Oryzias latipes: one gene and its partner. The protein of the gene in region 2 binds, or shares a complex with, the protein of the main gene of each other region. Links are inferred from orthologs where the notes say so. Each region holds a gene or a part of one and is shown on either strand. Other genes may lie near its edges.

Evidence for each region. The genes of interacting proteins can lie anywhere in the genome.
Region 1: the proteins of slc39a7 (region 2) and mettl9 are in contact, whole or in part, in a crystal structure (PDB 8GZE), measured with the Homo sapiens proteins. The link is inferred for Oryzias latipes from reciprocal best matches to the Homo sapiens genes SLC39A7 and METTL9. Residues at the interface, in NP_001070984.1 of Homo sapiens: Gly65, His66, Thr67, His68, Glu69; in NP_057109.3 of Homo sapiens: Arg114, Thr115, Asn118, Arg123, Gly124, Met126, Met179, Asn210, Asp213, Arg214, Val241, His245, Tyr247, Glu249, Trp255, Tyr295, Leu296, Cys297, Glu298, Asp300, Tyr306, Val307, Leu308.

What each region holds. Positions count from the first base shown.
Region 1 is NC_019877.2:20,101,747-20,105,859, reverse strand, and holds the start of mettl9 (methyltransferase-like protein 9), read right to left. Parts: upstream 2,945-4,113; 5' UTR 2,930-2,944; coding exon 2,750-2,929; intron 2,213-2,749; coding exon 2,022-2,212; intron 1,950-2,021; coding exon 1,740-1,949; intron 1,578-1,739; coding exon 1,393-1,577; intron 1,311-1,392; coding exon 1,075-1,310; 3' UTR 1-1,074. UniProt on the Homo sapiens protein: Protein-histidine N-methyltransferase that specifically catalyzes 1-methylhistidine (pros-methylhistidine) methylation of target proteins.
Region 2 is NC_019869.2:14,594,680-14,597,642, forward strand, and holds the end of slc39a7 (zinc transporter SLC39A7), read left to right. Parts: intron 1-1,299; coding exon 1,300-1,496; intron 1,497-1,576; coding exon 1,577-1,831; 3' UTR 1,832-2,351; downstream 2,352-2,963. UniProt on the Homo sapiens protein: Transports Zn(2+) from the endoplasmic reticulum (ER)/Golgi apparatus to the cytosol, playing an essential role in the regulation of cytosolic zinc levels.

The sequences.
Region 1 (4,113 bases), on a different chromosome or scaffold from region 2:
GCTGCAGTTGCATCACCATTAAAAGAAAAAGAAAAAGGTCTGAAGATGAGAGCAAAGGCTTTTAAAAATCCTGTCTTTAACCCCAAACAGCAAAGATAAATAAAAACTCATCAACCTAAACATCCTGTAAAAACAGATCGAATTTATAGATCTAAAGCTACAATCAGATACTCTTATTGTGAATATATCAAACGTATGCAGCACTTTTCGGTTTCCTGTTGTCACTTAGAAAGAAATTCACTACTTGATATTAAATTCAGTGCAACAAAGCAAAACAAAAGCATGGAATTCCATAAAGTTTAGCTTGAGGTTTGGCTTTAATACTGAATCGAAGGATGGAAAAGATTTCAAGTTGTTAAAACTGTTTTGGTCAGGTGCATAGATCCATTACGAGTGATCTGGAAATGAAACAGTTCGTAAAATATGATCAAGTTTAGGATCTGGTGGTGCCAAACGTGGCACAGAATTACGCTGATAATCCAACAGAAAGATGCCAAAAGGTGTGACACTCCTATAGGCCAAGCGGCATGTTTTCCCTGCAGTCGTGTAGCAAATGCATCTTAGTGGAGCGGCGTCCAGCATTGTGCAACTAATGCTTGGGATCTTGCCATCATTACCAACCTTGAGGGGGGAACAACGTGAAACGCTCATAAAGTGCTTCACCTCTGGGATATTTCACCTGGAAAACCTCTGTGGGATTTTATGTCTCAGAGGGTGAACAGGCAATTGTAAAAATCTTGTGCAATGGTGAAATCAAATATGTAGTACTATAAATTGAACCGTTTATGCAAATATTGTCAGAAATTTTGGTTAAAACGTTGACAGTTAAACATTTACATCACAAATAATGGACTTGGAAGACAGAAAAACTTTTAGAAAGGATGATCCCCCTTAGGTTTTCGTTTGAAATAACAGTATAACAAACTAAAAAAAAAAAGAAAAAGGAAATCACTGCTGTGTTGCGCCCAACTCCCTGCTTCTAAATTTCCGAGATGAATAAATGCATGAGGAAGAAGAAGAAGAATTGCACTAAAATCCAGGTACTGAGAAGAAATTTTGGGCCCCGTGTTGTGTTCAGAGCTCATGAACAGACTGCTCCGAGTCGCCGGAGGCCTTCAGAACAAAAACCGCATCATCCAGCACATAGTAGTCATTGTACATGTCTCCCTCGCACAGGTACGGCAGACGCGTCACCGCTTCCACCTCAAACCCCACCCGCGGGAAAACCTCGCTGGACAGATCGGTCACCTGCTCCTCCCACGTCTTTCCTTTAACTTTCAGGTGTTCTTTTGGTCGTTCCCACTTCCCGCCTGTCAAGCAGAGAAACGATGCTTGGATTTCTAGCTAGATGAAACGTCAGCAGAAGAGACAGAAATGGGATTCCTCACTGACCGACTTCTACGTAGGGCTGAAAGGGAAGCACAGCAGCCAAGACGAGCCGTCCGGTTTTGGGAACCAAGGCTTTTCTTATTTCCCGCAGGAGGTGCAGTGGATCCTCGCAGCGGTCCAGCAAGTTCAGACAGCTGATAAGATCATACTGAAATCCAACATGCTGCCACTCGTCTATACCCAGAACCCTGTGGCACACGGGAAAAGACAACAAAAAGACAGAGAGGAAAAACTTCTAATTGCCAATTAATTTCAACCCAAAAGAACACAGTGTTATTCTGTGGTTGCATTCTTGTATTGGCTTGAAGGGAAGGAACCTGTGAAAGCTTTTAGGATATGCTTCTACTCACTTGTAGTTCCTCCTCTGCAGATGCCACTTCATTGGCACAGACACCTCAGTTGCAAAGACCTGCCTGAAATGCACTCCCATCACCTCTGTGACCCCTCCATCACCAGCTCCAAGGTCCAGGAGTCTCTCTGCCGTCCAGTCTGGGCCGATCCGGAGCAACTGCTGGAACTGCTCGGACGAAAACACGAACATAGACCCTCTCCCCAAAACCCTGTGACACAGAGGAGGGTCAGGAGCAGGAAGAGGAACACAAGCTGCAATTCAAACACCCACTAGCGCTCACCCGTTAATGGAGGTGCGCGACAAAACGGGGCTTAGGACGGTGGACACCAGCGAGTGGTAGAGCTGCGTGAACAGCCAGCCGGACTTCTCTGCGCTCCTGTTGAGAAAATCCGTGGTGTCCGAGTCCAAGTGGCTTTGGATGAAGAGAGGCCGGACGGATTCTCCCAGCAGATCTGGGCAGCATCGGTACCACTGAACAAACAGAACAAGAGGTTTTGATTTCACAACACTTTTTAAGAAGTCCTGAGGTGAACTCCATCTCCTGTCACCAGTCTCATACAATACCACCCTTTACCTACCCCACAGCCCCTCCCTGAAAACAGTTCAGGTCTGTTTGGATTGAATTTTCTCAGCTCAGCAGAGGTGGGGCTGTGTTAAACTACACAGCAGAAAGTAGAATTTAAGAATTATTTCCTATTTAAATGTTAAAAAATAGTCTTTCCTGTGCAAAACCAATTTCCCCCCTTGTGTTTCAATCCCAGTCATCTTTAAAACTACTGTCACATTGTCTCTTTCAGCATAGTTTCTTTTGCAAAACAGAAGTTTCTCTTTTCAGCATCCCTCTGAATCATTTAGGTCAGTGCAAAGAGGCTAAACGAGCAACGAATAAATAACTAATGACAAATTCGTGACACATTCGAATAAGGACATTCTTGGATTTAAAATAAACACTGTAAATTTAGATTTTGTAGTTTTATATTTTCAGAAAAAAAATAAGGACAGTCGTACCTCGTGTGTTTCCCTGGCACCACTGGCCTCGTGCTCATTCACCATATTCAGGACTAGAGAGCGCACGAGCGGGCTGCGCGCGTGCTTAGCGGTCCACATTCTCCTGATGGAGAGCAGAAACGCCACGTAGCCCAGCAGCCAGGCTACAAAAAACAGAGTCTTCAGCTGTAGATGACACATACGGAAAACAATGTCTGAGAGCCGAGAGAGCGGCAGCCGACAGCAGAGGGACAAGAGCAGGTAAGACGAGAAAACCCCGAGAGGAGAAACGTCTCCTATTCCAGGACTGTAAACCAACCTGAGGTGGGCGTGGGGGGACTTTACGGAGGCAAGCTGCTATTTACGCACCATCTTAGTCCAAGCGGAGCTTTGTTTGCTGAGCTGAAACGGCAGAAACTGAGCCGGGATGAGAAACACTCCCCCCTTTAACAATAAAAACAACCATATCCGCATTCTTCTTCTGGGTGTTTGGGTTGACATAGCACCGAATCTTTGGGGATTTACTGCCCCCTGTCGGCAAACACCGGCAACTTTCTGTTTTCCTGCTGAAAAGGGGGTTCCACATTTCAAGCCATTAATCATACAGAGTATCTAACTTATACCGAATGTATGTAGTGATTTATTTATTTCAAACATGTAAAAACAATAAAAATAACAAATACGATCATGATTTTCAATACTTGGAAAAAAATGTTTTCCATTAGACTGATGATGATGATGATAATTATAATAATAATTGTTGTGACTTTATATGATGTTGCTCCGAGTTACCTTAGCGTGGGTGCTATCAGCGGGTCTCTTAATTAGGACCGACGACAGGGACACAGCTTTCGGTGCAAGAGCTTTTACATGTACTTTACTCTGAAACCCCTCATGGCATATACAGGCCGACAGCACCATCTATTGGTGGCGGTGGTTATTACTGTCTATCACAATATACCACATCCCTCTTTTCCCAAGACATGTTAGTCATAACATCTTCAACAGTTGTTTAAACACAAAAGCACCCTCTAAATAATTTGAACATTAGACGGTCTTATGCTCTTAACATAATGGCTAGGCAAATTCAGATTGTAAACAACCTTACATTTAACAATGTGCATCTTAGTGCAGTAGTCTGAAACTTCGACATACAAACATTTAACTTATTTCTTAAAATGTTTTAAAACGAACATACTCTTTTCTTTTACGTAACCATTAAACAAATCAAAGCAACAGTATGAACACAAAACTGTCACATTAACTAGTCTCTGTATCTGGCAGGACGTATGACTGCTCGACCACTGCGTGTGAAGTACGGTGCTGTGTTTTCCATACTCTCTGAAGATGATTTCTGTGGGGAATCACATGCTGGTGGATCAACT
Region 2 (2,963 bases):
ACTGGCATTGCAATTTTGGAAGAATACCAAAAGCAGAACTCATCCCAGAATGTTTTTATAATTCCACAGTTAAAGAATAAATGATCCACCGTCTCAATGTCATTCAAACAAAAACTGCAGTCATTCTCTTCAAACTCAAAACGAATCCTCAAAAATTTCTTAGATTGGTACGACGTCGCTAAGTAGTAAAATCGCTCGCTAAGTAGTTTGTCCAACTGGTGTTACCGTAGGGTGACGTCATCATTGGTCGAAGGACCCCCGAAGGACCCCGAGAACATCCGGCGGCCCGAGTCGATCCGGTACCCACACCGCCACTTCTCAAGACCAACTTAAAAACACCAAAAGTAACATTTGCATCAGAGCAGATCTTTAAAATCAAATGCTTGTTTATTTTACAACCACATCATTTTTGTGATGCATTATTTGTTTTGGTTGTTCAAAAACACACACAAATCGTTTTATCCGATTACTCGATTAATCGATCGATTAAGTGCTAGATTAATCGATTACAAAAAGAATCGATAGCTGCAGCCCTATCATTTCGGTTTCTTCTGAATGTCACCTGTGACCTTTTTTCATTGGTTTATCGTTCATAGGTTGGATCCATCATATTCTCTGAGCACAAAATACTGACAGATGGGAGGATATTTGTAAATAGGCAGAAAGACGGCAACTAAGAATTTCTGTGTGGGTTTATATGTAATTGTTTAACTGTGACTAATGTGACGGCAAATTAAGTTTAGAATCCGGTCTTATAAGGGTAAAGCAGCTTTTTTCTAAATTTTAACTGGTTTATAAGAAAAATTTACTTTATAATAAAATTTAACTTTTTTAATCGTGAAAGAATTTTAATTTTGCTGCACAAAACAAACTTTTTAAGCAATTTCATGAATTCAAGAATACTTTCTTAAGACATGCAGCTAAAGATCCACTCTGTTGAAAAAAACAAGTGTTTTGTGGTGTTTATCTGAAAATAGAGGACATATATTAAGAAAATTTAGTTCAAAATGTGTTTATTTTTTATGTTTTGCTCAAATCGTCTCGAATCAGGAGCAGACATAAAATGCAGTTTGGAAAAGAGTTTATTTGTGATGCTGAAAATGTGCTGAGTGGGCCACAAGCTCCCTGCTCCAAGCTGTCAGCAACAGGTCCTAGAAAGTGACAGGTTTTTGGATTTTGGCTAAAACATACTCATAAATAAAAGACCACTGGGAATGCTTTTAAAAGAAATCAAAAGATGACTGGAGTGGGTCTTTAAAAAGTCTTTTGTGTGTGTGTGTGTGTGTGTGTGTGCTACAGATATTAAAGTGTCAGCTTACCTGAACCTAGCAGCTGACTTCACGCACAACTTCACTGACGGCCTTGCAATCGGAGCGTCATTCCTGGTGAGTCCAGCAGTGGGCGCCATCACCACAGTGACAATTCTGCTGCACGAGGTCCCCCACGAAATCGGAGACTTTGCCATCCTCGTGCAGTCTGGCTGCACCAAGAAGAAGGTATCGTACCGTCTGCTTCCAGGCTGCTTGTGTCGCACTGATGCGGTGAGTGTGACTGTGTCGCTCCTCTTTCCCATCAGGCCATGTGTCTGCAGCTGCTGACTGCTTTGGGGGCGCTGGCAGGGACAGCTTGCTCCCTGATGGCTGAAGGTGTGGGCGCCACGGCAACCGCCTGGATCCTGCCCTTCACAGCTGGGGGGTTTATTTACATTGCCACAGTGACTGTGCTCCCCGAGCTGCTGGCAGGACGCTCCAGCTTTGGCCAGTCGCTCATGGAGATCCTGGCTCTGCTGTTTGGAGTCGAGATGATGGTTCTGATCGCAGAGTACGAGTGAGGCGCCTCTGTGGACAGTTTTGGTTTCCTCACAGATTCCTCTCTCTTTTTTTTCTTTCTTTTTTCTTTAAAGTTGTGGGGAAAAAATCTCTTTTGTTGTTTTAACAGTTCATAGACACTTCATTGATTTGTTTTTTTGTATTTTTTAAAACTTGAATCTCTTCATTATGGATGCACAACATAAGGAAAGTTGTTTTTTGTGTGTGTTTTTCTTCATCCCACAGCTTCCATGAGCTGCAGTTTGACATCAGAACAGGCCAAAACACTAGATGTTCTCTGCTGCGTCACACTGGGATGCTCCTCTGATTTTCACTTCATGATTTACATTCCACACAAAAAGATATTGCCGCTTTTGTGAATGTATTCCGAAAGACTTCATGTTTTTTTTTTGTTGGATTGTAAAAGGATCAGCTGTTATGACTCAAGACTTCAGACGGGAACTTATTTTAAACTTCCTGCAATAATGAAAACGCCTGCAGCTGTGCCGAACGTCCCAAATAAATGAAAGGTGATACGTTTCAGAAATGTTCCTGTGGTCATTTCAGCACCTGGGGCTGAAATTCCCAAAAAAGACGATACAGTTCCCCAGTGAATTAAATAAAAACTCATATGTAAAAAAACACACCAACTGTGGGTTGGAGTTGGTATGTTTCCACACCAGCAGTGAAACATACTTAATCTGTTTTAAATTCTTAATTCCACAAAATGATCCCAAAACCAAACGACTTTCACTTTAAGATTTGGCAACTAAACCGAGCTCATAAAATGTAATATATGAACTACAGAATTTAATTCAGTTCTGCACCGCACACATGGCAGTGAAGTCACTCTGAAAGGTGACTAATTTTTACCCAGCAGCCAGTGTTTGTTGGTGGCCACGCCTACAATGTCCCTTTCTTGTAATCTATCAGACTAATTGCATTCTGGTGGTAAACACGAGCTTTTTAATAACTTTTGTTCAGTTTAAACATAATTAATCTGTAGTTTTTTACATAAAAACCACCAATGAAAAACGTTTTGTTTGAATCGTCTAATTTTTTTAAATAAATGCTATTATTGAAAGACATACACCACAAATTTGATTAATGGGTAATATCCTCACTCATATCTGTGAAACTTCCTGTAACGCTCAT